Notamacropus eugenii: one gene and its partners. The protein of the gene in region 3 purifies or fractionates together with the protein of the main gene of each other region. This does not show direct contact. Links are inferred from orthologs where the notes say so. Each region holds a gene or a part of one and is shown on either strand. Other genes may lie near its edges.

Region 1 (7,562 bases), on a different chromosome or scaffold from region 3:
GTGTTCTCATTTGTAAAAACAAGCGTAATAATGGCAGCTACTCACAGAGTAAATGATAGTATCATATCATATATGTAAAGTGATTCTTTGCAGACTTCAAGACTCAACTCAAATTCCACCTTCTACAAGAAGCCTTTCCAGTACCCTCTACTGCTTTCCAGCCACACTCTACTGCTTGTGCCTTCCAAGATTATTTCCCATTTACACGGTATATATGATTATATGTACAGTTAGTTGTTTGCATGTTGTCTCCCCACTGGGATGTTATTTCCTTCAGGACAGGGATCATGCTTTCTGCCTTTCTTTGTATCCCCAGAGCTTATCACAATACCAGGCCCAAGTGTTTAATATGTACTTGATGAGTACTTAATATATGCTTGGTGAGTTGACTGTTAATTGAAATTTTTCTAGTAATATAACAATATGTAATGGATCTTAAATCTGTATTTTCATTCCAACTGCAGTCACGAAACAACAGAATTGTCAGAACACTGACCTATTTATATATTCAGAACTGGGACCTCTGGTCTCAAAATATCCAAATGACCATCAAAGAGGTATGACAGACTCATCTGGGCAAATTTGTGACCAAAATTATTAAAGGGATTTTTAAAAAAGGAAATAATTTAAAATGTTTTATCACTCAAATTTAAACATTATTTATTTATTTAAACAGTCTACCTCAACAGTCTAGAGAGAAATCTGTTGTCTTTTTTTTTTCCAATGGCCATCACATAGCAGAATATGATTTAAAATTCTTACTTTAAATTTAACCTGCTTTCCTGCACACACAAATTTGTTTCAAAAGCATATAATGTCTTGAGATATATTCCTTAACATTTTCACATTACATCCCAAAGAACATCACCACACACAAATGGGAAATGTCTTTGATAACTATATATCCAGAAGTCAAACTATAGGAGCAATGAATAGTTAGAATATATATCAAAATAAATACTTGCAAATAAATTAACAACGAAAATGGCTAGGGTTACATATCTGTTCCAGTCTTAGTACAGTTCCCAGCTCATAGTAGGCACTTAAAACGTGTTGACTTGACAAGAATAAAGCATCTAGGCAGATGTTTTTTCCTACACACAAAAACAAGAAAGGATTTGGATTTGCTTTCCATCCTTGTAGGGAAGAATCAAGAAAATCAAAATGCTAAAGAATGGCAATATGGTATAATGGAAAGGGTGTTCAATTTGCCTCAGGAGACACCAGGTTCTGAATCTGACTCAGCCACTTACTATTTTGTGTGACCTTAAACAAGTCAAACTCTCTTAGCCTTGATTTCCTCATGTGTAAAAATAAGAATGTTACACTTGGTAAACTTTTTATGTTCAGAGCTAAATGTTGGTGTCTTAACGGTGTATAATGCAATCGATTATTAAACTAATGTTAACTAAAGTAAAAAGAAGATATACACAAAAAAGTGAGGACAATCTTTAAAACAGTTAAGTAAACGACTCAAAAATATGATAATTAAACATCTTTATTTCATAAGCTTCGTTAACAGACTGTTCAACACACAAGGTTTTATTCCAGTTACTCAAAGGAAGTTTTTAGCCTAACTATGAGGCATTATTCATTCAATTATTTATATACAGAGCCATTTTCACTCCCAATCATTTCTGAATCACTAAAGGGTATTTTTCATGGCAAACAAATTCAATTAAAACAAGAATGCTACTGTGATCTAAAAAGTCACATTTAACCTTGGCATATTCAAATCAAAGAGCTCAAACAAATTTGCCAATATCATTATTTCAACTCCTGGGCATATGGGATGTATATAATAAGTCTTTAGCACCTGCCTCCATTCTCAAATCAGATTGTGAAGTTGAACAAACGGCTTGAAATTTGTAAACGGATTGAAAAGTTGCTTTCAATATTAAGTTTACAGAGTTTTCCAAAAGCTTGTCACCCTGTCCCTGAGCAGAACTCTATCCCAAGTGATAAGTTTTCAGAAACAAAAAGAAGCGAACTTCAACCGAAAGCACTCAATGAGAACAAAAGAGAAGGAAAAACAACTCAACTCTTCCCTCAAACTAAGCATAAGGAATAGACTAGCTTTCTGAAGCCCGGAAAGAGCACGGGAGAGAAACCTAAAAAACGGCCCCAAATCTTTCCCGTGCGAGGGAGAGGAAGGGCTATCCTAAGGCTGGAGGAGAATTCTCCAACGGTGCTCGAAGTTGTTTCCTGTGGGAGAGGACTCGGAGTTCAAGATCTCCCTCGTGCACGCTGTCCCACGCTAAGTGCGGCCAGCGCTGCATGGTCTATAAGCTCCGAGGGGGGAGGGGAAGGGGACCCGGTAGGGACGGGGGCTGGGGAAGGGGAGGAGGGGCGCCCTTTCTCCTAAATTGAGGCCGGCGCCGCCGACCTACACCCCCCAACCCCGCCCGCAGCTGGGGGCCCAACTTGTGCCGCCCCCTCCCACATGCCCGGGCTCTCTCCGTCAGACACAGTCTCTCCTTTGTCTGAGTGCAAGGTCCCACCAAGTTGTGTCCGTCCCGTCACGCCCGGAGCTCTCCCGACGCCCGGCACACAAAGGACACTTGGGGCGGCCGGGACGGGGCCCCGAGCCCCGAACCCGACGGATCAGGCGGAAAAGGAAAAAGGAGAGCGGGTGGTGTGAGGCGGGAACCAAACAAAACACCCCAGCACAGCGACCCAGCGCTCTCCCGGCCGTTTCCCCCCACCCCGGCCACTCCATCCCCTGCGTCTGCGGCCGCCCCGAGCGCGGGCCGCCGACCCCCAGTCCCCCCAGCTTCGGGATCCCTTCCCCCCGGTCATACAAAGAAGGCGCCGGGTGAACCCCTCTCCGGGGCGATACCCGGAGACGAGCAATATCGCCGCCGCCCGTAACTCCTCGGGCTCCTGAGCCCGTCCCGCTAGCCGGAGCCGGCCGGGTGGCTTTACCTTCTTTCCCTCTCCCCAGCCCGCGCCGCTCCCCGCGCGCTGCTCCCGCGCGCCGCCGCCGCCACCGGTCCTCCGCTGCTTTCTCTGTCCCTGTGGGTGTCGGATGCTACCGGACCGAGCGCCAAACCTGACAGCCCAATCGCCATCGCTCTCATTGGCCCCCCCACTACAATCAAGCGCCGCCCCGATTGGAGGGACGAGAGGCAGGCTTCCATCCAATCAGAGGGCCCGCCGAGCTCCCAGGCGCCGGGAAGACCCACAGCCCCACGCATATACTTATCTCCGGACGGTACGCACACATCCACACATACACATATTCTCATATACGCGCACACATACACACACACACTCCCTGAGACGCTGGGGGTTTTTACGTGCGAAACTACCGCCGCCGTCCCTTTGTTCTCTCGTTTTACACGCAGGGTACGGATCGGGAAGGCGAATGGGCCGCGGGGCGAACGCGGCAGGGGGAGGAGGGGAGGAGGGGCCGGCTGGACGAGCCAGGCCGGGAGAGGGGCGGGGAGGAAAGGGGAAGGATCTGGGTGGCGGGCGGGGAAGGACGGAGATGTTGCTCTAATCTTGGCGGGAATAGCCACCTCCGAGCCCCGGCGGGGCAGGGGAGGGGAGAGGAGGGGAGGAGGGGCGTCGGAGGGGCGTCGGAGGGAGGTGTAGTTCAAGGGGCCTTGGCGGCCAAGTTTGAATCAGTTCGAAACTCAAGGCGTGGTAACGGTTTTAACGGCCGCGCTCTTTCTCCTTTCTCTCCCGAGGGGCGGGCTGGGCCAGGCGGGGCCCCGGGCGGGCGGAGGTGAAGTGTCCCCGGGAGACCCCGGGAGTTGGGGCGAGCCCAGGCATCCCGGGGCCTCCGGAGCCCGCCGCCTCGCCTCCGATCGAGTCCGGCCGGAGGCTGCGCTTGACGGCCGCTAGGGGCGGCTCGGCGCCTGGGGCTCTGCCGCTGATTTGCATGCGAGGCGCGCGGCGCTCCCCGCCCGCCCTGGCGGGAGCCGGGCCGACTAATGAGCGCGCTCGCTTGGGGCGGGGAGCGCTGGGGCGCTCGGCCGTTAGGGGCCCTCCCGCCGGCAGGGCCGAGAGCCGGCTGCTCGCTACCTCTGCCGGGCCTCCGGCCGCGGGGCTGCCCTTAGAAAATAAGTGAAAGGCTGTCAGTGACGTTCCCAGCCCCCGGGTTTGAGAGCCTCGGCGGTGTGGTGGCTGCGAGCCCGAGCGCACGTGTCGGCCTCCCAGCCCCGCGGGTGGAGCGCCCACATGCGCTGGGCGGAATGGAGAGCGGCCCCCGCGCGGGCGGTTTGTGAAGCCTTAGTGACCTTAGGAAAACCCGGCTCCACACGCGGGAACAGAAGCCGACCGTACACCGCGTGAATTGCACTTTTTCGGTGGTTTGCTTGGGGTTTTTTTAACCAAGACATTAAGGTAGTTTAAATTAAATTTCTAAAGGGACACGGGCAATTCATTTTTTAGAATGTTTATTGATATGTATGCTGTTTTATACACGTATGTATACATTTATATGTAATTTACATATGTATACATTTAACTCGATAGGAATTGCCCACTTACACTGGGACTAAATATTATAATTGAGAAAACCCCAATGATCAAGTGTATAATAAAGAACTACAAGGATTACGTATAATTTGTTTTTCAGTTTGTAAAGATGACACTTAAATGAATATGGATTCCTATTCACCCCTAAGGGTATAGTAGCATGTCCTATGCATCGCATGGCAATCTATGGCCTGCACAGGGTTCACCCAAGGTTCTAGGCTTCCTCTATATCTTGTGATCGGGATGCCAACAGAAGCTGGGGGCTTTCCATCCGTTATCCCTCATCCTTTGTCACATGACCAGCCCACTTTTTCTAGTGGACCTTTTTGTGTCTTGCACCTCTGATGATATTCTTTCTGGTTGCCTCCTGTTCAAAGATAATACTAGAAAATTCAAATCAGAAGTCTTCATTTAGTGACTTGCCCTGTAATTTCTATGGGACTCATCACCATCATTATTCCCACCCATAACCACATGCAGTCTCCTGTAGGGAGGAGATTTGAAGATTTGGGATTATTGAAATGTACAATGCAATACAGCAAATAGTAACAAATAGGCAATAAATATTAAGTGCCCACTGTGTGCCAAACACAGTCCCTGTTCTCAAGGAACTTATAATCTAATGAAAAAGAAAAGGAAGCTGAGTGGGGAGGTTGAAAAGGTTCAGCGTGGGGCCATGATGGTACAGTAGAATCCAAGCTATGCCACTGGTGGGAAATGAAGAGTTAGGTAGGCTTCTGAGCTCTCTGTAAATGGGGGATTTGGGGCGGGAAATGTTCAGCCCTCCAATCCAACTGAAAGTAATTTAAGGTATTGAGATGTGAGTTCCAAAGCTAATGCAATCTCTATAATGATCAATTACCTGGTGATAAGCTTTTTTTGGAGAGGGGGGGTGTAATAATGATCCAGACAGTGCAACTGGTAGGAAATGAGGAGTTGGCTAGCATTCTGAGCCCTCCACATGGAGACTTGGGAGAACTTTTTTTTTTTTTTGCTCCAGAGTCAAAGGTATTGGCAAAGAGAACAGTATTGGGGTGGGAGTTGTAATCAACGTTTGGTCATGTAAAGGGTATGACAACTGTTTTAAGACTACATAAAGTGAGCATAAAAAATGAGTCTCCGTGCAATTTGTCTTTTAAAATCATGCCTCATGGAATTTGGGTTTGTTTGGTTTTTTGGTCTAGATTTGTGATATTTATATGGAGCATTCCTGGTTTGGGAATTCCCTCCATCCATGATAACTTAAAAGTTTTAGTTACCTGGAACACTGAGAGTTTAAGTGATTAGCCCTTGGTCACACAGCTTGTGTCAGAGGCTAGTTATTTTACTTTCTCAAAGCAAAACATTTCTGTTTCTGGCAATTCACAGTTCCTTTCGTAGCTAAGAAGTTAACAAAGTTAACAAAAGTTAACAAAAACTAGTCATCAATCAGTAAGCACATATGAAGCACCTTCTCTGTGCTAGCTACCATGCTGGGAATAAAGAGATGATAGTAAGACTGTCCCTTCGCAGAGCTTGCATTATCCTGGGGAGATACAACATGCTCACAGATAAATTTAAGATTACAAGCACAATACTCAGGGTAGGGGAAGGGAGTATCTGTAAGAGCCTTGAAAGTAGCTAGATGTTCCAAGAGGCAGAGGTTCTTTAGAGGAAGAGCATCCCTGGTGTGGGGGCCAGCTGGTACAAAATCATGAAGGTGAGAGGTGAAACAAAGTAGTCACTTTGGAAAGAGGTTTAAATTCCAGCAGCATGGAAGGCAATAGGGAGCCTCTGAAACTAGGGGTTGACATGGTCAGACTTGTGTTTTAGGACTCAGTTTGGCAGCTGTTTAGAGAATAGATTGGAGTGGGGAAACTAGTTAGACTTTTGGAATAAACTGTTCAGATAAGAGGCAGTGAGGGCATGCACTAGGATGCTATGGTATGAATGGAGAGAAGGCACCTCTTGCCTAAAGTAACAGCCTAAGTTGAAAGGATGTCGAATAAGAGATCTTTGTAAGATAGATATGTAGGGGGGGAGGGAGTTCCAATTTTTGCTTATATCATTTGTTTTTATATCACCTTCATTTCTCAAACTTTCTTCTCCACCAGCCCACCCCCAGCCTCTCCCAAAGAACTATCCCTTATAACAAAGAATTAGGAAGTCTTTATGGAAATAATTTGAATATAATTAGTATCTAGATCTCTACAGATAGGTGCAAAAGGTAAAAATGTATATATCCAGTACAGAACAGCTTTTATTCCTCATGCAAAGAAACAAAAAACAATGAAATATTGAGTTTAAGTCGACATTGTCACTCTGCTCCCCCTCTCTTACCTACAGGGACCTAAGGTCCATTGTACCATACTTTGGTTTAGGTTCTTCTCAGAAAGAAAACAGATATAGAATTACTAGCAAGGACAACCCCTCAATAGTCCACTGAGTCAGATGCCTTTCACCACATAAACTTATACAGGTCTTATAGTAATACTTTGATAATGGAGAGTCTCCCAAAATAAAAATGAACTTGCAGTTACTAGAAAAGCATCCTTTGCAATAGACTCACACTGTCCAAATCATTCCAGATAACAGCAAAAAGCAAAATTCATTTTTTGCCTTTTTTTGCTCCCATTTATCAAAGCTTTAACTTCTTGTTGATCCCTAGGCTTCAGGGACCACAGGAATCCAATGGTTTCTCCCTATGTTGCTGTTAACTACCAAGAAAATTACATTTTTCTCACAATTCGAAGTAAGTAGAACCAGGAAAGCAATATATAATCATAAACATATTGTAAAGAAAAACAGCTCTAAAAGACAAGAACTGTAATCATTATATTGACCAGTCATGGTTCCAGAAGGCCCATGTTAAATCATGCTTCCCACTACTTAACAGAGGTGATGGACTAAAGGAACAGAAATATATTTTTCAATGTATCCAACATATGGATTTGTTTTGGTTTATATCTATCACAAGGGAAGGATTTTTTTTTCCTTTGGTGGGAAGTTATAGCAGGGGAAAGGAGGGAATAGTGATGGGGTGCCCAAAAAAAGAAAAAAAAAGTGAGCCATACAAAAGAGAATAAAAGAAAGTTGAG
Region 2 (6,840 bases), on a different chromosome or scaffold from region 3:
GCTGATTTTGGGGCCAGTGGTCTATCCACTGTGCCAGTTAGCTGCCCTGAATTAGCAGTAGAGAGAGAGAGAGAGAGAGAGAGAGAGAGAGAGAGAGAGAGAGAGAGAGAGAGAGAGAGAGAGAGACAGAGACAGAGAGAGAGACAGAGAGACAGGAAGAAAGAAAGAGAGAACTGCTTCCCCTTCTACTTCCTGTGAGCTCAAAGGTTTTAAAATGACAAAAAATTCCTTGTGGCTAACTTAGTACACTACTCACAAAATACTCATGGATCTATTACCATATATTCAGACCTTTATTTAAAGTTATCAATAAACATTTACAGTACTGAATATTTCATATAAAACTCCAAATAAGCACTGCCATTTCATTAAATAGATTAGGGCTGGTTTTCCATTAAGGCAACTGTCACCATCAGATTTCTACTGGGATATTTCTATCATACCTTTCCACTATTTCTGGCATTTTTTCTTCTTCTTTAATACTTCAACTCAGAATTGTAAAATTATTTTATTTCTACTCTTCCCTCACTCTTCTATTATTCTTTCCCCTAACCTATCTCCCTAACATATAGCTTTTCTTCCATATATACATCTGTTAGGTTTGATTCCAATACTTATAATAACTTCTTTTAAATTAACTCAGTTGAGAATGTTAACATTGTCCTCTTTAAAAAGATCAGGATAAAGCAAAAAAAAGGTCATTAATCTCTTACTAATTAATCACATGTACAACTGGAATATTTCTTAGTCTAAAATAAAGGTAATTATCTGTAAAACACAAGCTTTGCTCTCTCAGCACAGTAGGACAGAGCAGGGAGTGTAGGACTTGGAAGTAGAGAACTTAAGATCTGAGTCCAAGTTTCGCGATGTAAATTTTTCTGTGATCTTGAGAAGTCATTTAATCTCTTCAGCCTGTTTTTTTCATCTGTAAAATAAGAAAATTGTACTAGATGACCTGGAATCCCCTTTTCAACTCTAAATCTATGATTCTCATTTGTCTGATTATCAAGTACATTATGGTACCAGCAATAGAATCTTAACACCACAAAAATCAGTTGCTTTGAAAAACAAACACTAAAATGATTTTGAGACATATTGTAGATAAACTGAATACAAGAATAGAAAGAGGGCCTATCCTGTGATTTTCCTGCCACAGGTAAATATCCAGCTGAGAAAACTCCATTTACCAAAGCAGGTTGACACAATCACAGAAATTAAGTAACATGCCTAGGGTCACCCAGACAATGTCACAGACCCAGGAATTGAACCAAGGTCTTCTTGGCATTGAGGCTGGCTCTCTATCCCACTATATCATATTGCCTCTGTCATAAGAAGTCTGGAGAACAAATCATTTACCCCCCGATTAAGTTTTGGTGTGCTAATCCAAATGTTAAGTTTTGTGGCTTCTTAGAGACCCCAACCACCTATTTCTTTCAGTGATCCTCTGGAGGTTATAGATTTCTATTACACAGTATTCCTCACTACTCTTATTTAAAAGATTCTTCTTTCTCTTTAGAATGAGGAGTGGAAAGAGGGATGGACCTGGATTTAAATCTCAGTTCTGCCACTTAACATGTATAACCTCAAGCAAATCATTCCCTTCTTCATGGCCTCAGTTTCCTCATCTGTGAAAAGGATTAGATTGGTTGGATTGGATGGATAGATTGGATAGATTGCTGGATTAGATGACCTCCAAGGATCCTTCAAGAAACTAATTTATTAATTTATTTATTTATAAACTAACTTATTAAACACCTAATATGTGCCAGGCACTGTGCTATTTGCTGGGATACAGAAGTAATAATTAAAATCTGTGCTCTCAAGGTGCTTACAATCTAGCTATGTAAGATGTGTCTATCCATGCATGAATGTAAGCATACGCATTATATATGTATGCGTGTATATATATATATACACGAGTAAAAATGGGATGAGGTGAAAGGACAAGCAGCTGGGGAAAGGCGCGGGGGTCCCGCTGGTGCTTCAGAAAAGACTTCAGGTAGGAAGCCGAACTTGAGCTGAGCCTTGGAGGAAGGAGAAGAATTCTAAGCCGTAGAGGTGAGAAGGAGGCACATTCAGGCACCGAAGGTACGTCGGCGCAAAGGCAGAGACAGGAGATGGGAGCACGCGCGGAGAAAGTGAACTACATCCACACTGGAAGGGGCGCGTGGGCAGCGCCCCCAACACCGACTCGCTCTCGGTCTGAAGTTTTCCGAAGAGAGCTGAGCCCTTCTACCACCGTCCCCTCTCCCCGGACGCCCTCGTGGGCCAGCCCTACACTTCGTTGGGCCCCAGTGTGTCCCACTAAAACGCTGGCGCTGGAGGGGGGTAGGTGGAGGGCAAAGCTCCGGGGGGCGCACTACCTGTCAAGCGCACGCCGGGCCCCACGCTCCCCTCCGCGGCACCCGAGAGCCGCACGCCCACGCTACATCACCCCGACCGGCTCCCACCCGGGCACTCCGGGCGCTTCCTCCTGCCGGGGTGGGGGGAGGAGGCGACTGGTGACTCAGGTGAGGTGCCCTCCCCCACGACAGAAATATTCCCAAAGAGCCCAGGGGTGGGGGTCGGACACGTCGTCATCGCCTCCCCACCCGGGGGCTCTCCGCGCTTCCCGACGCCCCCCTTTCCGCGGGATGACACTCGTCCCGCCCGGACGGCGGGGCCACGCCGGCACAGGCGCCCACTCACGTTCTCGTCCCCGGACAGGTCCGGGTTGCTGTTCTCGTCGCTGCTCAGCTTCTGCTTCTTGGCCGCAGGCATGTCGCTTCCCGCCGGCGCTGTCGAGACTTCCCTCTCGGACATGTTCCTGCGCCTGCCCCCGGACTCCTGTCGTCGCGGCCGCGGCCTCCGCCACACCGCCGTCAAGCAAGCCCGGCCCGCGCCGGCCGCAAAGCCGCCGCCGCCGCCTCCTCCACCACTGCCGCCTCCTCCGGCCCCCCCACCGTCGCAAACCGCGCCCAGCCGCCGAGGCGGGCGGGCGTGCGGCCCCGCCACACTGCTGAAAAAGGGGCGCGCGCTTGCGCGCGCCCGCCCGCGCGGCCTCCGCTTCCCCTCCCCTCGCGGCTCCCCCCGCCCCTCCGCGGCTCACCCCACTACCCCCACCAACTCCCCCGTCGCCCGCCCGGCTCCGTTCACGCGAAAGGGCGTCGTGGGTCCGCGGGCTTTCAAGAGCTCTTTCCCGCGTGTCCCTCCAGACCCTGGTCTTTCTGCCCCGTTCCTCACCACCACCTCGAAAATGAGTGGCGGGAATGGAAGGGACTCTCCCTCAACCCTTCCGCCTCCCAAAGCCGTTTAAGCAGCAATTGGCCGAAACCCTGGATCCCCTGACGGGTTTCAGGGGACTGAGAGCCGCCGGAATGGACCAGACCATTGGGCCGCCAACGGCGGGGAAGGAGACGAAGAGATGCCTCTCTTCCTGGGAAATGAGGCGAGGGGTCGCAGTCGTGCCTTCGGCACTGAAGTCGTCATATCATTGAGTGTCGAAGGACTATGGCAACCTAACTCCAGATGCTGGAATGGAAGTAAATAACTGGAGGTATTGATACTTTAGGATCCTCCGCCGAAAAAAATGGAAGTTACCTATGAAGGAGCACGCATGCGCGAGGATGTCGTATGATACTGTCTCCGCAGTTGGACTGAGCCCCGCCCATCCCCGCTGGCCCCGCCCTAAAGCTAGTAGCTCCACCTCCTCCTAAACTGCACTGGTTTAGCGAGAGGTGTAGTGATCGTTACCCTGCTGAAGTTGTATCTGGAAAGCACTGGCGCTCCTTGCTGCAGCCTTAGGGAAATCTGCAGGCTCTTATTTGCTTCCTTTCTTTTTGCCTGCTATCACTTGTTTCTTTCATAGTTACCGTTCAAAGAGCTTCACCGGACAGAGCGCTGGGACCGGAGTCCAAAAGACCTGAATTCAAATCCAGCCTCAGACACCTCCCAGCTGTGTGATCCCCGGGCAAGTCGCTTCACCGCTGTGTGCCTCGGTTTCCTCAGCTCTAAAGTGGGGATAATAATAGCACCTGCCTCCCAGGGTGCTTGTAATTGTACAGTGGTGCTGTATAAATACTTATATTAATTATGCTTAGCATGGTACCTGATGGTCTGGAGATAAGAGTCCCTTCTGGAGGCATCAGGAAAACTCACTTTCCTGAGTCGAATCTGGCCTCTGACACCTAACAGCTGTGTAAGACACTTAACCCTGTTTGCCTCAGTATCCTCATTCTTAAAAAGAACTAGAGAAGGAAATGGCAAATTACTCCAGTATCTTTGCAAAGAAAACTCCAAATGGGGCCATGAAAAGTCCAACGACTGAACAACAAAATTGGTTCCTGGCACCATAGTAAGCTCTTACTAAATGCCAATTTCCTTCCTTCCTGATCTGACCCCCAAACCCCTTTTCGAACCTTATTGCATAGATTTCCCTTCCCACAACAAATACTACTAGGTTTGACCAAACTGGCCTTCTTACCCATTCTTTCTTTATATATACCATCCTGCTTTTTTGTTTGTTTGTTTTTGGGGGTAGGGGTGACTTTGAGACTGACTGTTCTCTATGGTTGAAATGCATCCCCTTCTCATCTCCATGTCTTAGAATCACTAGTGTTATTCAAAACTCAGCTCAAGTGCTATTTTCTATGTGAAAATATTCCTTATTCTTTCCCTGCCCCTTGTATCCAATCCTATTGTACTTTGCATCAATTTAGTAATTTTATATCTATATATTACTTCCCCCAACCATACTGTAAGCTTTTGGAGGATAAAGACTGCTTTACTTCATTTTTTGTATCCCTAGGATGTATGTAGTACAGTACTTGTTCCTATTAAGCATATAGAAAATGCTTAATAAATGTTTGTTTATTGATTGAAATGATTACTGCGTTTTCCTTCACCAGTAAAAGCCCTTCAAATCTAGAATGTTACTGTACTTCCTTCTCCCTCTTCAAAACCCTCCCTGAGTCCAGGCTCTCAACTAAGGCCCCATTCTCTCCTTTACATCTCAAAACCTCTTGATGTCATCCCTCAGTCTCTTATACTTTAATTTAGTCTGTAATAATGATGTTACCCTTACACAAGTCCAGTCCCTTTTCCAAATCTCTAGTACTTTGCCCATCTCAACCAATTCTTTTTTTCCCTCTGTACTTCCCTCCATCTCTCCCTTTTTCTGTTTCTCTCTCTCTCTCTCTCTCTTCTTCTTCTTCTTCTTCCTCTCCCTCTCCCTCCATCTTCAGGTTCCTTCTCTGATGCCAACAACCCATGCATGTACCTGTATCACCTTCATCCAGAAAAAGCTTTCCCTAGATGCTACCATTCATTCCTTTAAGCTATCATTTTGATCTCTTTTTCAGCCAAACTCCTAGATTAAAAGCTGTCTATACACACTGCCTTCACTTCCTTTCCTTTCATTCATTCCTCAACCCTTTACAATCTGGTTTCTGACTTCATCACTCAACTGAAGCTGCTCCCTCCAAATTTGCCAAAGTTGCCAAACCTTATGAACTTTTCTCAGTCCCCATCCTTCTTGACCTCTCTGTAGCACTCAACATTTTTGAATACTCTCTCCTCTTGTATACCCTCTCTTCTCTGGATTTCCATGACACTTTTTTTCTTGGTTTTCCTGTCTCTCTGGCTGTTCCTTTTCAGCCTCCTTTGCCGGCTTCTCATCCATATGGCATCCCCCTCCTTCCCTTCTCCCCCTACCCCAGACACCTGTGTTCCTACAAGCTGTCTTGGGCCTTCTCTTTAAAATACATTTTCATTTGATGACCTCATCCTTTGCCATGGGTTTAATGATCATCTCTATGCAAATGACTCTGAGATGTTTATACTTAAATTCAATCTCTCTCTCAAGCTCCAGTCTCACATCCCCATCTGCTTATTGGACATTACAAACTGGATGTCTCAGAGCGATATCTTAGACTCAACATAAGCAAAATCTTCCCTACCATCCCTATCCTGCTTCCTTGTTTCTCTGCCTCTTCTAAGCTTTTACAGCATCTTGCTTTAATCTTTTTACATATTGCCACGTATGAAAGTTATTTTTGAACATGTCTTATCTGTCCTTTGTTTGTAGAGCTCTGACAGGTACCCTGATTAAAAACAATTGATTGAGTTTGTCAAGTGCAGAGTCCTCTGAAGGAAAATAATGGTCCCAGTCTTGATCAGAGAAATTAAAGGAAGACCTCGCAGTTTCAAGGCAGAATTCATATGAGTACGTAATCCAAAGGGCAGGTCAAGAAGCTGAAAAGAGTTTGTATCAACATTTTCAAAGCAGAAAAATCAGTGAGGAATATATAAAGTTTTGTACATAGGTTTTGATTTGGAAGATTTGAAAGAAATTATCTAGTCCAACCCTCCCCTCCTCCATTTTGAAGTAAAGAAACTTAGGCTTACAAAGGTGATATGATTTGCCAAAGACTACTCAGTCATTAGGCAGATATTTGAACTCCTGTCTTCAGATCCCAGATCTAACAGCCTTTCCACTTACCAGGGTATTGTACTACTCTTGAAAAAGATAACGGGCTGATCCTAAGGCATTAGCAGAAGATTGTTGGTGGACAGCCCCTGTACTGTACTGTTATCCTGGTGATATTAGGAGAAAGAGAGGAAGCCATGCACTCCACACGCCCAGTAGGTTTAGGTGGACACCCTGTGGCAAAGGCTATAGCCAAGGAGCTCACAATCTAATGGGGGAGACATCAAGTAAACAGCCAAAAACAAAAAAAAGGCTACATACAGGATAAATTTAAAATAATCAACCGAGGGGCAGCATTAGAATTAAGATAGGGATAGGTTTTCAGTAAAAGGTGAAACTTTTAGTTGGGACTTGAAGGAAACCAGGAGGTAGAA
Region 3 (7,976 bases):
GTGAAACCACTGGAGGCAACTCCGACATTGTAGCATCTTTAGGTTCCACCTGAGAGAGAGTACCAGGTGAGGCCTGCAGTTGTTCTGCCTCCACAACCCTATCATCTGCCATCACTTTCATTACTACAACTGGGTTCCCTTCCCCCAAATCTCTCCCTAGCACCTACCTTGACTCACTGGCATCACCCCCCCCTTCAGAAAGCCTCCCCATTCCTTCCCTTCTTTCTGTGACTCACTCCCCAGGGCCCCCGCAGTAACAGTAACTCTGCTGTCGGTTGCTCAGGTGTCCTGCATCCCAGTCCAGGCCCTTCAGTCCATATGGCAAAGACAGCTTCATCCCCAGCATTGCCCGTGCGTAAGGACCTTTCTTCAGGGCACCTCCCCTCTGCAGGGACAAACACATTGAGATAGTTTGGTGGTGAAGAAAGAGAAAAGTTAAGTGACAGCTTGGGGGTAGGGTGGAAGGTCAGTGTATAGAGAGAGGTGAGTGGTATCTACCATGGGGAGGAGTGATTTCGGTACCTTGGTAGCGATGGCAAAGACACACTGCCTGCAGACCCAAGGGGATGGGCCATCTCCTTCTCCAGGGGCTGGGGCTCTTGGAATGTGGCAATCCTGGTGATATGCTGGGGGGTGAGAAGAAGGATCATGGAGGGTTGAGGGTAAAGTATTGGGAAGAATGACTAGGGGGAAGAGGTTCAGGATTATAACAAGAAAAGGGTAAAGAAGGGAAATTATGGAAAAGAAATCATAGACTGTGAAGGTGTGGTTCCCCAATAGGCTGGGAGAGGTCAAATGTCATTCCTTACCATGTCGACATTTCTCACAGCTGACCAGCCGGTTCCCAGGGACCACAGACTCAGATCGACAGACGCAGCACAGGAGCTCTTCTCCAGGGAGGGCAGCTATGAAACAGAAAAGAGAGATAAGGACTGTAAGGCTCTAGCCCCATTATTCTTAAGAGCCAAGCTTCTGTCCCCCAGTCCCTGCTTCTTTTTAGGGACCAAGCTCCCTTGCATCTCACCAGGGCTAATGTCTTTCCATAGAACAAGAAACTGGGAGTCATCTTCAAACTGTACTAGACAGACCTCCCGAGCACTATCCACCTGGGAGAGAGAAAAGGAGGTGAATGCTGAGAAAGGGACATTTGATTTGAGTCAAGAGGATGGAAAGGGAATACTAAAGTTAATGTTTCAGGAGAAAAGTGGGGTTGAGGTTGAGGTCAGAGGTTTAGATCTCACCTTCTTGATAGTTCCCAGGTAAAGGAGTCCATCAGTCCATCTGGCCAGAACATCTTGTCCCTCCCAAAGCCGGGGTCTGGTACCTGGGGAAGGGGCTGGGGGAGTGGGCTCCCAGGGTTGGGGGGCAGCAGAGCGGCTCAGCCGGGAGGGCTGCGCCATTGCATCCTGGGGAGCCTGGTAGGACAAGGGGGGAAGAGTTACCTTCCCCACCCCCAACAGCAATCACCTCTTCCTGCTTGGCTCCCCCAAGGGGACTCAAAATATTCAAGATTCCAGCTTTCTCCTTGCTTCCCCAGTTCGATATCACAAAAGCCCATAGTCTTCTCTTTCAGACCCGCACTGAGGGGGTTTCTAAGATTCGAGGGAGAGGGAGCACAGACACCTGATTCTTAGTCTCCCACCCCCAAGATTCCTCCAGGGATTGGTTCTCTCAGGGAGTTTCTCTCTTGGTTCAAGGATTTTAAGAGGATGATGGATTGGAGAAAGAGGCCTCCCCTTAGGTCCTAGTCCCACCCCTACATCCTGGCTGGCTTCATCTTGGAATTTCCCTGTCCAGAGATGTCAGAGTTCAGACAACCTGCTTTTCGGGGGGAAGGGGGTCCTCAGTAATGAGATTCCCTCCGATCCATGCTGAAGAATCTTCCTATTCCTGGATTATCTTGAGTCCCACTCCAATCTGAGGTTCTCTAACCCAGGGGTGTGGGGGTGGGGCGGATAACTTCCCGTGTAGCTAGGGAGGGGGGCGTGTCCCGGTCCCAATCTCTACTCCCCGAGATGGGGCAAACCTGGAGGTGACGTGAGGCAGCCCCCTTGCAAAAGGGGGTCTCTGCATGCATGTGATTGGAAAGGCTGGGTGGGGGGAGACGAGAGGGTGGAGGGGAGCCAGAGAAGGACCCCTCCCCCACCTAGCGCCAACGCCTCTCCCGGGGGAGGGGGGCTCCCCCGCCTGGCCCCCCCCCCTCCCAGTACTCCTTCGGCCCCCCGCCCTCTCCGCCTCCTCCTTACCGGTGACAGCTGCGGCCGCCGGGGAGCTGGGGAGGGGGAGCCGTGGGGGGGCCGGGGCGGGGGTCGAGATGTCCAGGCGTCCGGGGGAGGGGGCAGACAGAGGCTGGGGGGGTCCCCGGGCCCGGCCCCTCGGTCCCGGCTGCTCTGGGGCGTATGACGCAGCAGCCAAAGCAGCGGCGGCGGCGGCGGCGGCGGCGGCGGCAGCAGCAGGAGGAGGGAGAGGAGGAGGGAGGGAGGGAGGGGAGGGACGGACTGACTGGGGGGGGGAGGCCTGGGAGGGAGGGAGGAGCTGGGGGGAGGGGGGCGGGAACCACCTCACCCCACCCCCTACGCCTCCCGGGCGGGCCACGCGGGGTGGGGTGGGGCCGGGTGCACGCCCTCCTCCCAGGACCCAGGCGCCGAGGCCGACGGGGAATCCCTCCGAGTGGCCCCGGCCCGCCCCCGGCGGCAGGGAATCCCTGCTCGGCTCCCGCCCCGGCCCCGCCCCCGCCGCGGCCTCCGCGCCTCGCGCCACAATCCGAAACTGCCCGGGAGCCGCCCCCACCAGCCCATTCCCGCACCTTTGGCCCCCCCGCGGCCCCTACCCCCCTCCCTCTAATTGCCCACCGGCCCCGCCCCCTTCCCCCCGGTTTTGCCCACCCAGCCTCCCCCGCCAAGGCGCATGCGCGGACCCACCTCCCTCCCCCAGCTTTCCGCTCCGCGCTGGCGCGCGGCACCTGCGGAGCTGGAGCGCCCCCCTCTCCCCGCCGGGCGGGGCCGTCGGGGCTGGCGCAGCGTTCCCTCGCTCTGCTTCCCCAGGCGCAGGAGGGCGGGAGGCGCGGGGCAGTAAGGAAGGAGGAGGGCCGGAGGGGAGCGGTCGGACAATTGCCGGGGCCGGGGGCGTTAACGCAGGCAGAGCCAATGGAAAGGAAACGGGGCGGGGCCCGGGCCGTTTGAATGGGGCGCTCCAGCGGGAGCGGGCGTTGAGTCATGCATCGTCCGAGCGGTCAGCCCGGCCCGCCGCGGCCCAGGCCGGAGCTGCCAGCCCCGAGCGCGCCGCGGACCTTCCGAGTGACGGACAGACGGGGACGGTGCCAAGGGCGGCACCAGGAGATCCCTGGCCAAATCGCTCGGCCCCTTACCCCAGCTTTCCAGAAAGAAACTTCCCGGGAAAGTGGTCGAAGAAAGCCATTTCTTAAGGGCCCTTTGCCTGCATTTCCAAATACATCCCTTCTTGGGCATCAGTTCTTAAAGAACAAGGGGAGGGCAATTCAGCAAAAGTAACCAACACATAAAATCACCGAGAACATGTGCTAAGATAATTTTATTTTGTGATACATGGTTATATTCACCTAGTTATATAAACTCAGTTACCACTCTAATTAAAAATATCCCCTTAAACATACATAAAAACCACATACACGCAGGACACCAAAGATGGCCCTTCTATTTCTTGTTGGCTCGAGCAGTGCCAATAACACACTGGTTTACCTGGGAGAGGAAAAGAAGAGATGCCTGTGTCAGCACCAGAACAATTCCTTTGGGATGGATACAACCCTTCCAGACCTCCTAAGGAAATCTGGAAGCAGGTATCCAGACACTCTAGCCCGGGGAAAGAGGAGAGCTATAGTGAGCCTAACTGGCAAACAGCAAAGGGGGAGGGGCACACCCTCAAAGAGCCAGGGACTGACAGGACAGAAGTGAAAAACAAAGGACCCATGGGAGATGTCTGTACCTTGGAGGCAAATCGCAGGGAGTTGAGGGACTCTGAGAAGTTTTCTTCCAATGGGGAGATATTCACAAACATAAGCCTGGGTGGGAGAAGGGGTTTAGCACAAAGGCAACATTCTCAAGACATTCCTCCGGCCCTGGTTCACACCTGTTAGTGTTGCTTAGAGCCAGTCTGCAAGTTTCTTCCATCCTTAACAAGCTAGTCTATCAGTTCCTATTCTTACTACTCACATTTTGGCACTGCCCCTTAGAGAATTCTGCAGCAGGTACGTGAGTTTGCTGTTCCGGTATGGCACATGCGACTCCTGGGTTGTGGGGGAGATGGAGGTTACAACGGGACAAGGCAGCATTTTAATATCTCAGAACAAACGGCTCGGCTGCAATCTCCCTTGCTCCTACCTTATTGCTCAGGGCCATGATGACAAGGCCCAGTGTAGAGAGGCTGCTGTTGATGGCTTGGGTCTCCTTCAGTCGTTCTCGATCTCCAGGGCCAGTGGACAAGCCAGGATCTAGTCTTTCACTCCCAGCCAGATCTATTAGGTTGAGAGAGGCTGTACAGTGTAAGTTCTGCCCCATGTGCTTCCCTGAAATCTGCAGCTGGAACACACTGTGGCTTCGCGATGACTGCTCGTTTTGTGCTGTTCGAGCCACTGCCCGATTCTGACGAGCCAGATGGAGCAGGGATTCCACCTGAATTGGGAGAGCGAGACTGCCATTGTCAATATCTTCTCAGTGAGCACACATATATTCTTTCCCCAACTCTTGGTTTTTGTAGAACATTCCCCCACTCCCAATACCTTGCACCTAATCTGACAACTTCCCACAGCCCCAAATCTTTCCTATAACCCCCCCACTTCCCAGTCTCCTCTCCTGTCCCTTGATCTTATCCCCTCTCTGTCTACCTCATTCCCTACCTCCTCTTCGCAGGAAACGGGGACATATTGGGCATTGGTGACAATAAGCTCCTTACTTCCAGGGCCAGCCAGTCGAATCTCATACTCAGTCCCCTGGCACTTTTGGGCCCCACCCACACAGGCCAACAGGTCCCTGATGGTTTCATTGTAGATCTCCACATAGCTAGCCACAAAGGTGTAGCTCCAGCCTTGGGCCTCCAGCTTCCGGGCTACTGAAAACAGATGCCTTACAGCTCTTGGGATCAGCCCCTCAACTTGCGGGTCTCCTCCTGGCCCTCCTTCCATCGTGAATGTCTTGCCACTGCCTGTCTGGCCATAGGCAAAGATGCACACAGGGTAACCATCCAGGGCTGACTGCACAAGCAGGGAGACTTCTTCAAACACTTCATTCTGTTTGCTCCCTGGTAGGAACACTCGGTCAAAGGAGAAGTCATAGCGGGCAGGAGCACTTGGTAACCCTCCTATGATGCTACATCGATCATCACTTGGCCGAGTAAGACTGAGTCGAGTGGAAGGCTCAGAGGCTCCATTAGACCCAGGAGGAAAAAGGATGAGGCCAGGAGGTGGTGTGGGCTCTCCAGGTAGAGCAGGGCGGACTCGACAAAAAACCCGAATGTTACCCTTGAGCTCTTGCAGCTGGTTGTGCAGATACCGCCGCTCCATCTCAAGACCATGCAGATGCTCTGTCCTTGTGGCCAACAAGTCTGCCTGGGCTGTGAAATCTGCCTGACTTTTGGCCAGAGCTGCCATTGATTCTTGGAGTTGTGCCTGGCATAGGTCAGAGAGGTAAGAGAGAAAGAGGGGTTAGAAAGTATGGAGGGAAGTATTAAGAGTGGACACTGTGAGAGGGAACAGAGTAACTGGTGAGATGAGAAGGAAGAATGAAGATGGGGTAAGGCACAACAGGAAAGGATATATAGATAGAATGGAAGAAAGGGAACAAGGAGAATATTACAGATGGCAAGAAAGAGGAGAGAAAACGAAATCAAAATCAAGCTACAAGAAACTGCATGAGGCAAGGGAAATTCCTTGAAAGACACAGCTCAAAAGTGAGGGAAGGGGCCTTCAGCTCAGATGAAAACTCTGAGAAGGGAGGACACACTCCAAGACACAAGTAAAAGGGAGAAGGTCAAACATCCCCCAGCGGAGGCTCAGCAAGAATTCCATGTGAACGCACACAGGACGATGCTTTGTCCACCCAAGCGTTACTCACCTCCTGTACCTCTAGCCGAGCAGCCAGATCCCTTCGTTCTTCTTGCAACTGTAACCGCTCTTCTTGCAATGACTGAACTAGGCCCTTCTGAGTATGCAGAAGTGCTTCCAGCTCCTGGACCTGAGCCCTCAACTTCCCCAGCTCCAGCTGGTCTTGCTTAGCTTGGGCCCGAGTCTCCGTCAGATCCCCAATCAACACCTTGTTCTCAGCCTCCAGAGTTTTGGCTTGTTGATCAGCTTGCCCAAACTGGCTCCTGAGTTCCTGGTTCTCCCTGGTTAGAACCTCAGTCTGTACCTGGCAGGCACTGAACTCCTTCCGTAAGTCACACAGTTGTCCCTTCACATCCCAGGCTGGACGCTTGCTAGATCCTTTCCTTGTTTTTGTAGGGGACATTCTTGATACTAGGTATGGGAAAGAGTAGCAAGGCGAATGAAAACTCTAGCTCCTTTCTCTTCTCCTTTCAGTGAGCAACAAACACCATTAACTCCCATTCCCTCCTTTTTATCTCACAGGGGAGACAGAAATGGGCTAATGGTTTTTGTAGAGCACTCAGTACAACTGCTATTCCCTCTGTAAGTGGTACATTGCCTAACCTGAGGGATTAGATTAGCCACTTACCAGGTTTTGGTGCAGAGACAGTAGAGACTGCAGAGACTGGCTTCCTATTCTTCACATCTGTACAAAGATAAGAGATAATAATTTCAATAACATCAATTAATTTGGAGCTGATAGTGACCGACTCTTTCATTTTACAGAGCAAACTATGGTCCAGAGGTTTACCTTGCCAAAGTTCACCTAAGACATAAGCTGCAGAGCTGAGATCAAGCTCAGATTCACAGGCAGCCAAATCCCTCCATCATTCTTCCCTTTCCAACTTGTGCTTGTTTCCCTGAGATCTAGCTACTGATGCCTACTCACCTGTGGTGGCCGTTGTAGTATGCCAAGGTCCTGTTTTTAGGGGAGCCTTCTGGGCTGCGAGGAGATAAGGAAGAAGGTGATAGGGAGCATCCTCAGGGCAGTTTCTATGCAGGAAAGAATATAAGAGCCAGCCTAGGGCTGACCTCTTATTCTGAAGAGATAATATACCCGTTCCTCTCAGACATGTTCATCTCCTATTGCACGTATAACCTAAGACAGAATTACTCTGGTCATGTAATTACATGAAATAGGAAAGATGAAACTCTGGATTCTTTTGTCATCTGTCAAACCTACAGGTATTTTATTTACCTGCTTCCTGTTTTTTTGCCCTGGGCATAGTGGCCACAGTGGAGACCCTGGGACGAGAGATGGCAATAGTTACTGCTGTTCCAGGACCTCGAATCCGCTTCTGAGGAAAGAGAAAGTAAAGTTTTCATGTACAACCTATATCAAATTGTTTACTGTACCATCTCAGAAAGGTGGAGGTGGGAGAGAGAGAGAAAACTTGGAACTCAAAATTAAAAAAAGAAAAGAATGTTGAATATTGTCTTTAACTGTGGAAAAAATAAATATATATATAAAGGATAGTTTTAGAGAACTTTTTCCCACCCACCCCCCTTGGGGCTCCCCACCCTTCTCAACTAATCCAGTTCTCTCTTCTCCCTGCCCAGGCTCTCACATATCTACAGTCCAACTCACCTTCTCCGGCTCAGGGGCATTCTCTTTATCTAGTCTTCTCTTTGTACCACGGCCTAGCATAGGCAATTGAGAAGATGAGGCCTTGTCCGGGGGCATCTTCAATTCCATGTTCCCCTTTTCCATCAGTGATAACTTCTATAAGAAAAAGGAAGCCACTCAGACCTCCTGGTTTCCCTGCCACTCCCACATTTCCTGACCGCCTCACATTTCTATTAACTACCTCCCTTTTGTTATCAGAAGCAAATATCTATTGAAAGCTTACTACACACACAGAAC
Region 4 (7,868 bases), about 270 Mb from region 3:
GGAACAGAAATCTCCTTTGCTCCACTGTGCTGTGGCCTCTACTACTCCAGAATTCGCCATGAGTTCCTTTTTACCGATGTTCTATGGGTTGTGGGTTCGGAGCTATGTGTATATGCGTCTTTCTACTCCGCCATCTTGGCTCTGCCCCCACCCCCGGAGAAGTTTTAATATATACTTGTAACTATCCTCTAAGACAGTAAATTCATTCATTTAATAAACATGCCAACTACTGTCCTAGGTTCACTGAAGAATAGAAAGATGATGAGAGGTGTCTGTTCTCAAGGAGCTTTGATCTAACAAGGGAAGAAATAACTGCAATAATGTAAATGTTTTACACATTTACACATTTTTTTATTCATTAAAGAATGTGTAAAGAATGTGATGTGTAAAGAATGTGATGAACCACAAGTTCCAAGGAGGGAGAAATTGCTTTTGGATGGGACAACAAGGAACAGTTTCTTTGGTACCATTTGAGCTGAGCTTCAAAGGATGGATGAAGATTTTGATAAATGAAGAAGGAAGAAAAGGTCTATTGCCTTTTGTGGGGAGGGGGGTGGAGAGTGAGAATAGTGTGAACAGGAAAGGCAGCATAGTGTTCAGCAATAGATAAGGGGAAATAAGGTCAATAAATTGGGTTAAACCGTGGAAAACTTTCTATGCTTTTCAAAGAAGTTTAGACTTCATTTTAGGGAGTTTTTTGGAGTTTTTGAATACTGGTTAGAGCTCCACTTTATATTTTTTCATTTCCTTTTTTTATTTTAGTTTTCAACATTCACTTCCATAAATTTTTGAGTTTTAAATTTTCTCCTTCTCCCTTCCTTCCCTCCTCCCCAAGATGGCATGCAATCTCATAAAGGCAGAGCTCCACTTTATCAATCAATAAGCATTTATTAGCCATCTCCTTTATATCAGACACTGTGCTAAACACTTCCCTTCTAAGATTTCACAGTTTAAGGGGGTGTAGGGAAGAGAACAATCAAACATATACAAACAAACTATATATAGGATAAATCAGAAATGGTTAACATAGTGAAGTCACTAGAATTAAGAGTAGTTGGGAAATTTCCTGTAAATGAGATTTTAATTGGGACTTAAAGGAAGCCAGGGAAAGCAGAAAGAGAAATGGAGAGAGAACATTCCAGGCATGGAGGATAGCCAGAGAAAATGCCCATAGCAGAGAGATTGTGTGTCTTGCTCATGGAACAAGAGGCCAGTGTCAATGGGCCATAGGGTATCTGCTGGGGAATAAAGTCTAAGAATACTGAAAAGGTAGGAGGGGGCTAGGTTTTGAAAGGCTTTGTATGACAAACAGAGAATCTTGTATGTGACCTTGGAGGTAAAAGGGAGCCACTACAGTCTATTGAGTAAAGGTGGCAACATGGTGGTAACTGAGCTTTAGTGGTCAAATGGAGGATGAACTGGAATGGGGAGAGACTTGAGTCAGGAAAACCCATCAGCAGGCTGTTGCAATAGCCCAGACAAGAGGTGCGAAGGTTCTGTACTAGTTGATGATGGTGTCAGAGGAGACACGGGGGTATACTGGGGACATGTTGCAAATGTGAAATCAAGAAATCTTGGCAACAGTTTGGATATGGGGTGTGGGTGTGGTGAAAGTCAATGAGGAGTCCAGAATGACTCCTAGATTGTGAGCCTGAAGGATTGGGAGGCTGGGGAAGGTAGGAGGAGGAAGAGTTTAAGGGGAAAAGATAATGAGTTTGGTTTTGGACATGTTGAGTTTAAGATGTCTACTGGACATATAGTTGGAAATGTCTGAAAAGCAGTTGGAGATTTGAGACTGGAGGTCAGCAAAGAGGTTGGGATAGATTAAGAATTATTAATATAGAAGTGGTTATTAAATCCATGAGAGCTGATTTTTTTTAATTTTTAATTTTCACATTAGTCATGTTTTAAAGAAGAATAAGAACCAATGGGAGGAACCATGAGAAAGAAGAAACAAAATAAAATAACAACAACAAAAAAGAGAGAGAGTAAATAGTATGCTTCAATCTGCATGCAGACTCCAGAGTTCTTTCTCTGGATGTAGACAACATTTTCTATCATGAGTCTTTTGGAGTTGTCTTAGATCCACGTATTGTTGAGAAGACCCAGATCTATCAAAGTCAATTATCACACAATGTGACTGTTACTGTATAACAGTGTTCTCCTGATTCTGCTCACTTCACTCAGTATCAATTCATATGTCTTTTCAGGTTTTTCTCAAGTCTGCCTGCTCATGATTTCCCATAGCACAATAGTATTCCGTTACATTCATATACCACAACTTGTTCAGACATTCTCCAATTGATGTGCATTCTCTCCATTTCCAACTCTTGGCCACCACAAAAAGAGCTGCTATAAATATTTTTGTACATGTGGATCCTTTCCCCATTTTTATGATCTCTTTGGGATACAGACCTAGAAGTGGTACTGCTGGGTCAAAGAGTATGCATAGCTTTAAGCCCTTTGGGCATAGTTCCAAACTGTTCTCCAGAACAGTTGGATTAATTCACATCTCCACCAACAATGCATTAGTGTTTCAATTTTCCCACATCTCCAACATTTATCCTGTTTTGTCATGTTAGCCAATCTGATAGGTGTGATGTGGTACTTCAGAGTTGTTTTGATTTGCATCTCTCTAATCAATAGTGATTTAAAACATTTTTTTTCATATGGTAATGGATAGCTTTAAATTCTTCATCTGAAAACTGCCTGTTCATATCCTTTGACTATTTATCTATTGGGGACTGTTTCCATTTTTACTGAGCATGAATGTGAAATCATTCTTTAGGAAGATTAATTTGACAGACCTATTCAGGATGGTTTTTAGAAAGAAAGCTCTTGCTGTAAGCATGTAAATATTTGTAGCTGCTGTGATACTAGAAACAGTAATAGGTTAATGATGCATAGACAACTGCTTTAGTGGAGGTATGGATATGGACTGAACTTGTGATTTTATTGGCATAGGAACTCTGGGGTAGGAAACATCATCCATCAATGCAGATCAGCACATTTTCTGCAATTTATAGTCTTATATCTAGAATTCTATGTATTCATATGCATAACATATAGAAGTCTATATGTTATAATATATGGAATTATATATATATGTATGTATATAGTCTTTCTGCAATTTATAGTCAATATAGAGAATTGCCCTGAGAACTGAGAGGTTTAATGATTTCTGCAGGGTCATGTGTGTGTTCGTCCTTCATTGCTGAAGAAGACCATGCCATCAGAGAAATAATGATATGACTTGCACTTGACTTTGTTTTGAGTGAGGGAGGGCTGTGCAGGTCACCAGCCTCACTTCTCCTCCAGAGCTATCTGAATCCAGTCACCAGATATTCACCAGGATGACTGGAGATGACCCAGGATGAGGTAGTTGGGGTTAAGTGACTTGCTTAATGTCACACAGCTAGTGAACATAAAGTGCCTGAGGTGAGATTTGAACTCCTGCTCCTGCTTTATCCACTGCACCACCTAGCGGCCCCTGAGCACTGAGAGGTTTAATGATTTCTACGGGGTCATACAGCCAAGGGAAAGATTTGGATTCAGGTCTTCAAGTCTTTGATAAGAGCTCCATTATAAAGAGCTTACAAGAGGCATGAGATGAAGTACATAGTGAATGTGTTAAAGAAGGACTTGAACGAATGCATGGATGAATGAATGAAATTTAACCCCTGTCCCAAAGCTGGTTGGTATGGAACTATCTCCTTATTGGTAGAGACAAGGACCCTGCACTTCATGAAGGGCAGGACAAAGCTGAAGAGAGGCAAGACCTTGAGTTCCCAGACAGTCCCTTTTTGGGACTCTCCACAAGAAAGTCCCCTTTGAATCCTTTTTAGGACTTTCCAGGCAAGACTCCCATTTGGGAAACTCTTCAAGCAGCAGTTCCCCTTCTTCAATGGAAAGTCAGGCTGAGCTGCCTTCCAGCTGTGGAAGAAACCAGCCCCACATCAGGTTGCTGAAGGAAAAGATTCTGGGAAGACATGAGAGGAGTTCTTTTTCTCCATTATGTCCCTGTTCTCAGCTTGCTACTCTAGAGACTTCAGGGGAAGTTTTCCTTGGGTGGGATTCAGGATTCTTTCTCGGTTGAGCTGAGTTATTTTTCTCCTAATGGAACAGCTCCCTCATTTTGTATTGTCTGGTATTTATTTTCCCATATATACCTTCTCTAATTTGTTTTGATACTGATTGGGATAAATGGAATTTTTTTTTTGCCATTTGCTATATGTGTTCATTGTATGGAATTGGTATTAGCTGAGCAAGGGGTCGTCAGCCTGGGGACTACCCTCCCCCCCATGACTCCCTCTCCCTGAGGAGAGCAGAGGGGTGGCCGGTGGTCGGTCCCAACCTCCGGCTTCCCCTTCTAGCAGTAATGAAAATCTCCCTTGGAGAAGGGGTGGGGTGGGGAGTAAACGGTAGAGATGGGTAATGTCTTTCCAACCACACACAAGGGTCGCCTTGGATAACCCCTGGCCTCCCCACAAGGGGCCCCTCTACCCAAGTGGGACCCTCTAGTCATATCTGCCCTGGAGCATTTATGAAGCTCTTACTGCATGCAAAGCACAGAAAAGGAAGAAGCCCGTCCCTGCTCTCAAGAGCGCACATGCTACTATCATATCTCGTGTACTGGGTGAAAGCGGGTCTCGGCTACGGGGCACACCTTCGTACCCGGCAGGACCTGCCCATCCTGCTTCCGGCGGTCCAGCCTCTCAAGGCGAGAGTGGGGCTCACGCGCCCGCGCCAGACACCCGAGGTTCGTAAGCACAAAATGAGCACGCGACGAGGAACGCCCGCGCCCAAAAAGAGGCCAGCGCAACCAGCCCCGCATGCGCAGGCGCAGACGATCCTGAGCAAGCGCAGGAAGGAGGGCTGCGCAGGGGGCGGGGCGAGGAGGCTAGTAGGACGCATGCGTCCTGACCACTGGGTTCGCCAGCCTAGGATGGAAGATGAGTGAGTAAACAAGTCCCGGGCCGGGGAGCGGGACTCTGCATGGGGGGGAGCTTGTCGGATGGGACCGAGGGGTCGGGGGTGAAGAGGGGGTAGGGACGTGGGAAGAGGGGGGCAGCCTGCCTGACCGCGTTTGTGGGGAGGCCCCTGGTTCCGGGCTGTGAGGGAGGAAGGAAGATCGCGCGGGTGGGAAGGGGAAAATTCCCTTGGGCTCGAGAGGAGGAGGTGTCTGCCGTCTGGGAGCACCCCCCCGTGGGGGATGGGCCAGGGGAGGCGGGGCCGCGCGAGGTGGGAGGGGGAGGAGAGGTCTGAGGAGGACGGAGGAGAGGTGTGGAGAGTTCACGGAGGGGGATGGGCGGGGCGCGCCAGGTGCGCGGAGGTGTTACAGCCCCAGGGCATCCCCTTGGGAGGGGGGTGGCGTCTGGGAGGGTTGCCGTGGGTTTGGCAGGGAGGGGGTAACTTTAGGAGAAAATCCCTGTACAGCGAGCGAGAGGGGAAAAGTGGGGTGTATGGGGAAACGGGGTTCTTTTAGGGGATAAGGCAGTTTTCTCTGAGGGGCATTCCACTCTGCAGGTTGGGGTGCGTAACAGTAAAAGAGCGTATGCTGGGAATGGACGTACATGTTTAGGCTTTGAATGAAAGTCGGCCTGAAATTCTTAAAGGGTTTGTGTGAGTGTACGAACCCCTTTCTCTCCGTTTGAATGACGACCACCTGATTGTTGGTCCTGCTTATCTCTCGCCAGGATCCTGGGAGTTAGGCGCTGTTATTATCCCCATTATTAAGTGGTTTGCCCAGGGTCATACAGCTGGGGCCAGATTTAAACTCAGGTTTTCCTGATCGCAGAGCCAGTCCTCTAGCTTAACCGGTCTCGCTCAACAAATTTTACGTGCTCTGTGCCAGGTGAGAAGCAGTTTGGCATATAGAGCAGCAGCCTTGGTGTCAGAAAGGCTTGGAGAAGCCCTGCCTCTGACAGTTTGCTGGCTGGGTCATCCTGTTATGCACAAGGCAATATGCTAGTTACTGGCAATCTACATATCCTTATCACCTCAAGACACTAGTACAACAACTTTGTATCCGGAAGAGTAGCAGATTTACATTGGTGGAAGGATCTTTTGTATTGTGTGACTTGACTGTACAAATGAAATAATAACTGCAAATGAAATTATAGGTGTGGATCTTTCCTGTCACCTACACCTACGCGTAAGTATACAAAGCACTCTTCTAGGCATTGAAGATACAAAGACATTAAATGAAAAACAATTCTTGTTCTCAAGAAGCTTCTATTATATAAGGCATACAACATGTAAATAAATAAGTAGGGGAGGACCTTGAATAATTCTCAGGCTAGTATCTTTCCTCTGCACAGCTATCAATATAATCATCCTAAAGAACAGATCATTCTGCTCAAAAATGTTCCCGATACCTCTTGGATAAAATGTACACCCTTAAACCTTATGTTTAATAGCGACTACTATCTGACTTGTCTACTTTTCCAACCACATTTCATCTACTCTACATTAGAGACAAATTGGGCTATTTTTACCTGCTTCTCAAACTCAACATTTCATCTTCTGCTATTGTGTATTCCCACAAACTGTTCCCAGTTCCTGGATATTGATTGGTCCTATACTGTGTCTCTCGGAAGCATCATCTTCCTTCCTTCATATGCAACCATATGAGGTTGCATAGCCTATGTAGAAACCTTACCTGATCTCCCCAAATTATGATTCTTTCCTTCTTTAAATTATGTTGAGTATATATTGTATCCCTTACTAGAATGTTGACTGAGAGCAGGACTGTTTTGCTTTTTTCTTTATAGTCAGTAAACATATTAAGTGCCTATTGTGAGTTGGCACTGTGTATCTTTGGAGATACAAAGAAAAGTTATAACAGGGTCCTTAGCATCAGGTAGTAATTATTGACATAGAAGATATATATACACTGTAACTGCAAGGTAATCCCAGAAGGAAGATACTGAGGTCCCAGAAAGATTTCCTGAAGAAGATGGTATTTGAGTTGAATTTTGAAGGAAGTCAAGAGACAGAGATGAGGAGGGAGAGCATTCCAGACATGGAGCTTCTTCCATGGACAAGGAGGCACAGATTTGGAGGTGGCCTGTTGTCTTTAAGGAATAGCAAATAGGCCAATGTAGCTGAATTCCAGAATGCTTGGAGAAGAGCAGAGTTAAAAAAAAAAACAAAAACTGGCAAAATAGAAAGGGACCAGATTGTGAAGGGCTTTAAGTGCCAAATAGAGGATTTTATTGGGGGGAGAGGGGTGGTTACATGGTCAAACATACACTTTGAGAAAAATCATTTTGGCGGCTGCTTGGAGGATGAGTTGTAATGTGGAGGAACTTGAGACAGCAAAACCTACCAGAAAGCTGTTGTACTAGTGTGTCTTGAGGTGATACGGATACGTACATTTCCAGCAACTAGCACATTGCATTGTGCAGAACAGGAACCTAATGTTTATTAAAGTGGAAGGGTAGGTGAGCCCCTTCCTCAGAGAACTCAGGGTCTACGGTAATTGATTGTAATGGTATGTCCCCATCCCTAGATTTGTTTAGGGAGTCTGTCCTTGCTGATGAATAGTTATATTTTTTCAGGGCTTCAGATGATAAAGGGAAAGATTCTCTATCAGTTTTCTAATCCTTTTGAATACTGTGATCTTAGGCCTTTGTAAGAATTCTTCCCATTTTAAACCCTGGAGAGATTATGGTGGTGGCACTAGAGGGAGTCCTTACACGTGGGAAGATGTATTTATGTTTGGAGGGGAGGCTCTTAACATCCAGGAATGTGCTGTGTACAGAAATGTAATCTTGTTATTGTCAAAACCTGTGCTAGACACCTTTATGAATGGTGTAGGGGAGCCAGCCCTTGCTATTCTCATCTTAAGTAAAGGGGCCAGACTA

Evidence for each region.
Region 1: the proteins of PHF1 (region 3) and EZH2 purify together in Homo sapiens (affinity purification with mass spectrometry; 15 studies listed by BioGRID and IntAct, with this or other methods). This does not show direct contact. The link is inferred for Notamacropus eugenii from reciprocal best matches to the Homo sapiens genes PHF1 and EZH2.
Region 2: the proteins of PHF1 (region 3) and EED purify together in Homo sapiens (affinity purification with mass spectrometry; 8 studies listed by BioGRID and IntAct, with this or other methods). This does not show direct contact. The link is inferred for Notamacropus eugenii from reciprocal best matches to the Homo sapiens genes PHF1 and EED.
Region 4: the proteins of PHF1 (region 3) and EZH1 purify together in Homo sapiens (affinity purification with mass spectrometry; 5 studies listed by BioGRID and IntAct, with this or other methods). This does not show direct contact. The link is inferred for Notamacropus eugenii from reciprocal best matches to the Homo sapiens genes PHF1 and EZH1.

What each region holds. Positions count from the first base shown.
Region 1 is NC_092874.1:98,220,332-98,227,893, reverse strand, and holds the start of EZH2 (histone-lysine N-methyltransferase EZH2), read right to left. Parts: upstream 3,016-7,562; 5' UTR 2,926-3,015; intron 1-2,925. UniProt on the Homo sapiens protein: Polycomb group (PcG) protein. Catalytic subunit of the PRC2/EED-EZH2 complex, which methylates 'Lys-9' (H3K9me) and 'Lys-27' (H3K27me) of histone H3, leading to transcriptional repression of the affected target gene.
Region 2 is NC_092876.1:115,118,631-115,125,470, forward strand, and holds the start of EED (polycomb protein EED), read right to left. Parts: upstream 3,003-6,840; 5' UTR 2,803-3,002; coding exon 2,689-2,802; intron 1-2,688. UniProt on the Homo sapiens protein: Polycomb group (PcG) protein. Component of the PRC2/EED-EZH2 complex, which methylates 'Lys-9' and 'Lys-27' of histone H3, leading to transcriptional repression of the affected target gene.
Region 3 is NC_092873.1:89,404,889-89,412,864, reverse strand, and holds the start of PHF1 (PHD finger protein 1), read right to left. Parts: upstream 3,009-7,976; 5' UTR 2,922-3,008; intron 2,547-2,921; exon of another isoform or gene 2,247-2,546; intron 2,138-2,246; exon of another isoform or gene 1,819-2,137; intron 1,416-1,818; 5' UTR 1,401-1,415; coding exon 1,242-1,400; intron 1,107-1,241; coding exon 1,025-1,106; intron 906-1,024; coding exon 810-905; intron 627-809; coding exon 523-626; intron 386-522; coding exon 237-385; intron 50-236; coding exon 1-49. Other genes in the region: kinesin-like protein KIFC1, read right to left, coding at 3,672-3,716, 3,961-4,036, 4,188-4,261, 4,356-4,646, 4,871-5,638, 6,084-6,484, 6,702-6,758, 7,002-7,055 and 2 more. UniProt on the Homo sapiens protein: Polycomb group (PcG) that specifically binds histone H3 trimethylated at 'Lys-36' (H3K36me3) and recruits the PRC2 complex. Involved in DNA damage response and is recruited at double-strand breaks (DSBs).
Region 4 is NC_092873.1:359,237,965-359,245,832, reverse strand, and holds the start of EZH1 (histone-lysine N-methyltransferase EZH1), read left to right. Parts: upstream 1-4,863; 5' UTR 4,864-4,952; coding exon 4,953-4,956; intron 4,957-5,545; exon of another isoform or gene 5,546-6,154; intron 6,155-7,868.